Nothobranchius furzeri: one gene and its partner. Each later gene encodes a partner of the first gene's protein in a complex. Links are inferred from orthologs where the notes say so. Each region holds a gene or a part of one and is shown on either strand. Other genes may lie near its edges.

Evidence for each region. Proteins that work in one complex are often made in the same cells at the same time.
Region 2: mettl14 (region 1) and wtap share a complex: the UniProt entries of both Homo sapiens proteins name them as parts of the WMM complex. The link is inferred for Nothobranchius furzeri from reciprocal best matches to the Homo sapiens genes METTL14 and WTAP.

Annotation. Positions count from the first base shown.
Region 1 is NC_091746.1:78,155,158-78,159,399, reverse strand, and holds the start of mettl14 (N(6)-adenosine-methyltransferase non-catalytic subunit METTL14), read right to left. Parts: upstream 2,801-4,242; 5' UTR 2,668-2,800; coding exon 2,602-2,667; intron 2,291-2,601; coding exon 2,202-2,290; intron 1-2,201. Other genes in the region: prss12 (neurotrypsin), read left to right, coding at 3,841-4,168. UniProt on the Homo sapiens protein: The METTL3-METTL14 heterodimer forms a N6-methyltransferase complex that methylates adenosine residues at the N(6) position of some mRNAs and regulates the circadian clock, differentiation of embryonic stem cells and cortical neurogenesis.
Region 2 is NC_091742.1:5,865,037-5,869,334, forward strand, and holds the start of wtap (pre-mRNA-splicing regulator WTAP), read left to right. Parts: upstream 1-1,498; 5' UTR 1,499-1,685; intron 1,686-2,222; 5' UTR 2,223-2,230; coding exon 2,231-2,260; intron 2,261-2,366; coding exon 2,367-2,422; intron 2,423-2,497; coding exon 2,498-2,556; intron 2,557-2,716; coding exon 2,717-2,844; intron 2,845-4,298. Other genes in the region: sod2 (superoxide dismutase [Mn], mitochondrial), read right to left, coding at 1-168, 604-734. UniProt on the Homo sapiens protein: Associated component of the WMM complex, a complex that mediates N6-methyladenosine (m6A) methylation of RNAs, a modification that plays a role in the efficiency of mRNA splicing and RNA processing.

The sequences.
Region 1 (4,242 bases):
AAATATTTAGAGTACCCAGGTAGCACATCAACAATGCAATTTAATGGTTTTCTTAAAGTAGGAACGTTTAACCTGTGGCCAGAGCGCTCTCCTTCCTTCTGCTCTGCGTAAACCTGAACTGGTCACCTACTTGTGCATAATCAAATGTCTATAGGGGAAAAGATGGATGTGGGGGGCTGGGGGGTGCGCAGCTAAATAAGTTTGGGAACCGCTGGTCTAGCTCAAAGATGTTACACAGATTGTTCTTGAAAATAGCTTGAATTGCTGTTAAGTGTTGGATGTCTTGCTTTTGGATTCATCCAGTGTGATGATTACAGCTGTGGAGATGCTTTTTAAAAATAATACAGTTTTATCTCACCTACTCAGTTACCACAGTTCATATGAAGCAGGTTTTCACTTCTGCGAAGTATTTGCTGAATCTTACCTCCCCTGTTGTTTTGGTTTTGAATCCAAAGAATGTACTTTATAGGTCATACCTTGAGCTGTATCTAATTTTATGGTTCAAACTGGAGGAAATAACACAATAAGTTTTAATTTTTGGACATGTGTAATGTACTCAGGTCATTCACAAATTTGTTATCATTAGTAATTCATAAATCAGACTGTATCATTTGCATGTTAGTTAACCCCTGGTTAATGATTAAGTTGTGTTTCCTAAAGTGTTACTGATTTGACTTTTAATGTCTTGTAATATTGTTTATTAGTGTCCTGATATTCATAATCACCACCACCATTCTCTACTTTTGACTACTGTGTTTAATGTTACATTCATAATATGTTCTTATAAAACAGTAAGTCAATGTAACACAAACCATTTGATGGCATTGTTGAAATAAAAACAAATAACATGCCCACACTTTAATGGCTATATTCCTGTAACCACAAGGTCTTTTTCATTACTTTTGGTCTCATTATAAAAGGAATTCTTGTGGGATTTGTTCAGATGTGTGAATATTAGAATAAGTGTTGCTGATGAAGTGTAAATAGACAAGGAACATTGTAAAAAAGTTGATTATTTTTCTTTTGCTTATTTTGCCCGAAATGTTTGATTTCAGGATGAATACCTCTTTTGAAAAATGCATCAGTAGTTTTAAATTTCACTGAATTCATAATTTTACATCTTGACATTAGCTGTACAAAGTCTGAGTTTGATAAAGTGAAGAACAACAATTTTCAGAGGTTTATAATATATGCACACTTAAAGCGAGGTCTCAAATGCCACAGTGTGCCACTTGTAAAAGGAATAGTTGAACGCTCCTTCTACGGAATAGGTTTTTTTTTTGGTCCAACTTTAAAATCAGCTTTATTAACATTCAGTGACAAATAAAGTTTGTCGAAACCTCCCCGCCTCTACCCGAGTACACCTGTGCGCTGGTGGACTGGGCTGGAACCACAGTTTATTCAGGAGTTTCTCCAGACCCCGCCGTTGGATTATTGAAGCCGTTCAGGTTAGTTAGGAAACCTCTGAGCCAATAGAATCGCTTGCTTTTGATTTTTTAGGCTAGATTTTTGGGATTTGGCATCAGATGGATGCAAGCTAAAACAGCCACGAATCAGCTTTGTGTGATGTTGTGAAGATGGATTACACAAAGGGATTGGATTGTTTTTACCATAACATGGATTATGACCATGAATCAACAAAGGTAAGACTGTATTTACGCTTTTCACGTCATGAAATGAGCTGTGGTTTGTTAGCTGCTGGTTCTGTGAATTTTGCATGTAGAGTGCATAAATATTGTTGGAAAGAGAAGTCTGGGCTTTAATTTAAACAGTGGATTCTGTGGATAGGATATTGGATTGTCGCTGCTGTGTGTTTTTCTCTAAATGTGTATTTAGTGTATTTTTACGTCCTTTTGATTTAACAGCTTATTGTTGAATTGGGTGTTGTTGATGAAGAAAACTTGGGTTCTGTTGTTTGGAAGATTAGTTCTTCCCGTTCTGCATGTGTGCAGTTTATACATTGGTGAATATTAAGCATGTTTTTGGAAGGACTATGTTACTGTGAATCATGCGCGAACTCCTTACTGGATTGAGGTTGAGTTTCAATTTACAACTGATGACATCCACAGACAACATCCCCCACACTTTTGAAAAGTTTGCAACGCGCCTGCAAACACGTTGCATTTACGTATTTCATTCAAACGCAGCCCTTTTCTAGCTCAGACGATCCCGCCCTGTCTGTGAGGAGGAACAACCCTTACCTGCTTGCTTCTCTTGTCTCCTCTATCTCTTTGAGCTCATCTTTGCTGTGAAGGACAGCCCCGATACTGTCTGCGCTCTCAGCTCCCAGCTGCGCATTTAGAGAAACACACACAGAGAAACCAACATCAGCAAACATTTGACTGGAACTTTGTGAACGCCTTTTTTGCATTGCTGCTACATTTCATTCGACAAATAAAGTCGGCTCTAGCTTGGGTTACACTTATTTACATTTGCTATGAAGGTGTTTTCTTTTAGCTCGGTGGAAGGCGAGTATTTAATACATCAGCCAAGTTAGGGACGGTGAAGTTATGGTGAGCATTTAGCACCCTGCAGCTCCGTTATGACCAAAGCGACGTTAGCGGTTAGCCACTTTCTAACTGTTAACTATGGTGTACTTGCCTGTTGAGCCAAGATCTGCCGTCTCAGTTTTTGTTTCTCGCGGATTTCTTGAAGCCTACTGTTCATGTTCTCCTCTGTGACAGTAGATCTGTATTTATATTAAACGTCGGGTCGTTGCTAAATACGGATTACGTTCACTTCTGAAAGCAGCAAGCTCCTAGCTAAACATTAGCTAAATCGACATAGCCGCTGAAATGATGATGGGTGCGCTCGTTATGAACACCGGTACAAGTAATCACAGTAGATGTGTGTCTTTAACAAATATAGGGCGATGCATTGAAACTGCAAAGTTTACATATAAAACACTCAAATAACGTGTAATTTGAAGACATGTATAAAATTCTACAAAGAAAATTAAATAAACCGATTTGAGGGCTATAACTCCGGTTACCCAGAGAAGGTTCGGTGTACGCTGTTTACAAGATTTAACAAGCATTTGAACCTACAGTCACTCGATGATGATGAAAGAGCCTTGTCCGACGCATACGTTTGGCGTCAGCAAATTTATCACCCAATCACAGAGAACAGTTGGAAAAGGCAATCCAACAAACAGCTATATTCGACTGTTTCCCGTTCTCTCACAGCTCATGATACCACAATAAAAAGAAGGGAATGTGTTATTGGCATTTAAATACAGTATCAATAGTCGAGTAGCTTTAAAAGCTTACGGACAATGAAATTAGTGCAAGAAGCAAATTCACAGCTTTGTAGCCGTACTACATAAAAATATAGCATTGAAATAATTTTAGCAGTAAGCATATAATGATTAAATAACAACAATAACAATACAGATAACTAATAGCCTAATTTTAATTTAATTTCTCCTTTTAGCATTTTAACAGCAGTGCAAAAACATTTCAAACGTTTTTTCTCAAAGCAAAATTTCCTAACCTGACTGAGGGGAAATGGGAAATATAGTCTATCTAAAATGTAATTAGCCAACACATATATTAAATTGGTTTAGGGGAATTTTTGTTATATTTATTACGGCTCCGCGTAGAGTTCGTTTTAGTTCGTGACATTTGGCTGGATCTTGGATCAATCAGTAATTTGGTTTCCTCCTCTCGGAAGGGCTGCCAGCGCATCAGCCTACGCAAAAAGAGTTTCATCGATCTGCGTCGTTTTTCTTCTCGGTTCTCTCCCCTCCCGGGGAAAAGCGCCGGGGCTGCCTGCATGTCTGGAAACAGCTGATGAGTGAAACGGATTGCCACCGTTATCAGCGGCTCACGGTCGCAGAACATGAAGGCGACGTTTCTCGCTTCAGTAGCCGCTCTTCTGACCGCAAGCGGCTGTTTTTCCAGCAGCGTCCCTTCATTCATCCCCTCGTCCACCGAATGCGCCCGGAGCCAGGGGAGAGACGGCTCCTACCGGGGAGCTATTGATGTCACCGAGTCCGGCAGCCGGTGTATGAACTGGACCGAGGTGGCCGGGTTCCGTGAGCGCTATCCGAGCAGGGGGATAGGAGAACACAACCACTGCCGCAACCCGGACGGCAGGATTCGTCCCTGGTGCTTCTTTAGGAACCACAAAGGCAGAATAGACTGGGGTTACTGCGACTGTAAACAAGGTAAACACGCGGGTCCGGCGAATGCATTTTACACAATCATCTCAGATCTGTGCAATATGAATAAACAGACACAT
Region 2 (4,298 bases), on another chromosome or scaffold:
TTGAGGTTATTGACATAGGTAGCATGATGTTTGCTGTGGTGCAGCTGCATTATCTCTGCACAGATGTGAGGCTCCAGGGCTCCATAATCATAGGTCAGGTCAGGAAGGGTGTGCTTCTGCCTTGATGCAGCTATCTGGTTAATGCTTTGGCTGAGGCTGGCTGCGCACCTGAAATTAACAAAGAGGAGAATTGTAATAAATCACGATCCAATTGTGCATCAATCACCGGATACAACTAAACAGCAATTCAAGATGGCTGCAAGCGACTGACTTTAGTGTTTATTCAGGATTTACACAGCCGAAACCATTAACTAAATGTACTTTTAACATAGGCTCGTGTGTAATTTTGTGCATTCGTTTTGACACTTTAAGTTTGCAACTGCATTCAACCCTAGGCATAAAATAATGACGGAAGTAATCTAAACTATTTGGTGCGCCATAAACTAATGTAAACAGCTTGCTAAACTAAGTTAGCATCCTGGCTAGCAAACTGTTAGCTCCTGATGTTTGAAGATCATACTCGATTACAGCACGCAACAGCTCACTCTGCCTGTTTTCAACAACTTTATATATGCCCTAATGTTACGCGAACATCCGTTTTACCTGCGTATTTGCCCAAGTCTGCTCAGCATGTTTCGAATGGACCTCAGCAGGTAACCAGAACCGTGTGCACGCGCTAGTAAATAACTGCCCTTGAAACTGAGCCATTTCAAGTTGACAGACTGCACCATCATTATTATACGATGGGGGTGTTTGGAAGCGTTTGCATGATTTCTGTAATGTTGCGGACGCTGAAAGTTGGACTTCGTCGAAACATTGGTTTGCCGTGTTTGTCAATAAACCTTTAACTTGTGGCATTTTTTATGAGTAACCATGTCATTTTGTTTTTGAAATGCGTTTCCCTATTACGCTGCACATGGTCTTCAGGGCCTTAGCTCGTTATTTTTCTTTTTATTATAAATTAGTAAACAAGTGTAAGACTTGGATTTGTGTCGTCAAAATGTTTAACGAAATTTTGAAACACGAGAGTAATCAAAATAAAGAAATGTTTAGAAGACCACGAGGCACGTGACCCTCTTTTTTAATCGTGACGTGAAGATTGTCTACTTTGTTAAGATGTCCCACTCTTTAGAAATGTTCTTTTTTTTTTAAAAAAAAGTCTTCATCCAATTTAATCAATGACTCAAAGCAAACATGTTTTGCCTGAACCAGTTATTTTAGAAATATGCGTTTCTGCTAGGTCACCTATATTTGAATAATTTTAACTTAATTAACAAATAACATTTTTTGTTTATTTATTTATTCTATTTAGACAGATGTTATCAATTATTTTGGTCGATTGACTCTAAAAAGTTGTACCACGCATAATCAAACATTAACTATAGTAAATTATATAAATAAAACGTTGAAAATATCCCTTGTGTCGTGGCCCTGCTCGAGTTTCAGAAATTATTTTACGAGTGAGGCGTCTTCTCTCTGTTTTTAGCTCTCTGGTATTACTCCGCAGCATTTTCGTCCGTAGCTATTCCACACTGCCGTCAGCTAAAGAAAGATGATTGCGACTAAGCCCAAACGATACCGTTACTTGTCATTTCTCTGAATATTTGACCGTTTATGTGATTGTTATCCTCACAAGGAATTTCTGAAGCCGACAGTTCTGAGAAACATCGAAGATTCAGGGCCAGGTGAGTGTTTTTGTGGCGTCAGGCCTGGTAACTGCAGCCAAGAGCCCGCTAGTTTCAGGAAAAGGAGCGCAAGGGAGGGAGTCGTTTCCTTCACCGCCATTTTGTTATAACAAGGAGCCGAAACAGAGCAAATAATTAAGTGCCACCCATTTGAATTTAAATTATATTTAAACGTTACTTTGTAACTATGAGTTCAATTTACCATTGCAAAGGAGTGCTAAATATTAGTGGTCAGTAGTTCACCTTGGTTAGCTTCTTCGCTCTGCTAGCTGCCACAATGTCCCGACATTTAGCTGTACAGCGCTTATCAACTGGTTATGTTAAATCTTATGTTATCGACCAATGAGTCAACTCTTTGCCATAAAATATGCGGTGTTCTTTCTTCAGAAACCAAAACGCACGTAATTTAGCTTGTGTGCTAGTCGTGACTAGACTGCGTGCGGAGAACTAACGCTTTAGCTGAAAAGATGATGCAGTTAATTCAACCTGCAATTTAAGCAGCAGTAACTGATGATTTCTTGTCATATTTTCTTCTAGAGTTCAAAATGACCAACGAGGAACCTCTACCCAAGAAGGTTAGCGTCTGATCCTGTTCATCTCCTATTTGAACTATGTTCATTTAGCCTTTGGTTGTCTCCAAATAGCAGCCGGCCTCATTGACCAGTTTTTCTGTTTTCACAGGTTCGCCTGAGTGAGTCGGACATGAAGACCCTGACTAGAGAAGAGCTGTGTACCAGGTGGGTGTTCACGCTGCGATTGCTGTAAAATCACGTGTTCATCTAAAAATGTTAAACCTTCTTTTCTCGTTTCAGGTGGAAACAGCATGAAACGTACGTGCAGGTCCTCGAGGCCAAATATGCAGAGCTGTGTTGTAAGTGCAGTTTCGTAAATGCAATCCAGCATCATGTTGAGTTTAGTTTATTTAGCCGTTTCAACAGTCAGCTATAAATGCTACAATGAGTGCATTGCCTAACCTTTGGCTGTCTGTGAAGAGGACTAATCTGTGATGTTTTTTCATCTCATCCCTTCAGCGAACGATGTTCCAGGACTGAAGGAGTCGGAGGAAAAGCTCAAGCAGCAGCAGCAAGAGTCTGCTCGCAGGGAGAACATCCTGGTCATGCGACTTGCCACAAAGGAGCAGGAAATGCAAGAGTGTACAGTACGTATCTGTTTGCCACTGAATTCACTGTTTTGCTTTGGTCGAATGTTGCTCCCCGTTGATCTGTAGGAAGCTCCTTGTTGGGTGATTGATTTATTTTCTCTCTGATGGATGTCGACTCTCCTTTTTGTAATACTGTATAAAAAGGCGATGTTGAATTTTACTTATCATTAGGTTAGGTCACAGAAGTCAAACGTTCACTAATGACAATAGATTAATACCAAATGTAATGTTTTATAGTGATGTTTTGAACAGATGCCTTATTTAAAATGGCAAACATCAAAATGAGTGCTAACATCTGTCAGTGTGGCAGCTGTAGTCGATGTTTTATGTATTTACACAAGATCAGAGCTTCTTAGCCATAAAACACTGCTTATAAGTGCAATATGATCTTTGATTGAGATTAAAATACTAATAGAAGTAAATGTTGCATGGTGTCATTTACACATACATGATATTTTTCTAAGTTTGTGACGTAAAAGGATCTTAAAACAAGCAGCAGCATTTGCAGAGCAGCAGCTGTTATAAACAAACGTGCTGTTTTCTGTCAACAGAACCGGTCGTAAACAGGGATACTGTTATGGCCATTCACATTCATTCACACTGGGCCAACAAGTAGTTAAGGTCAGCCGTTGGCTTTAGACTGATGGTACAGAGTGTTCAGTGGCTTTATGGGGGCTCATCTGCCTTAAAGAGCAGCAGAGCTCACCTCAGCACACCTTTTCTTTCATTTAAAAGCCAAAAATAAGGATTAGGTTCAGTCAGATGCTGCTACTTTTGTTGCTTAAGCCATATTAGTTGTGCCTTTTGGCATATCGTGTAGGGCTGGGCAATAAACCGAAAATGTATCGTTATCGAAATTTCTGACTTATCGTGATAAATGTTCCCATATCAATACATTTGATAATACAAAATTGAAAAGATGTGTGTGGGTTGGCAACGTTCATGTCCCTAGCTGTACCAGGGTTTTTCCTGCATTCAAATTTGCCTGGTGGCCTCCTCCAGCTAATTTGTGCCGCCCCAGCCTGATTTCACTCTGCCCCCAGCTATATGGATGTTATTTTAACTGCAGTTGCAGCATTGCACCACTACGGGGCGCTGTATCAGCAGCGGTGCACAAAAAAGCACTAAAACCGCAGCAGACAAAGATCAAAAATTGCTTTTCTCTCTAGTTACATATCTGTGGTCGGTGCTATTGACGTCCTGATTTTCCCCCAGGCTCTTCCATATCAGAGCAGGGCTGTACAGTGCGATGAAAAACACTGTCTGCGTGTCTGTCTATTTGTAAATGTAACACGGGTGCAACATCTTTGAATTACCATTTTCCCCTGAACTTTATTGAACAAAAGTAAGTTACTTGTAAGAAAAATGCTTTTTACTGGCGCACGACGTGGTCATCTGGATGCAGTGGAGGAAAGGAACCGGCAAAGACGCAAAGGCAGAACCGGTGCAAA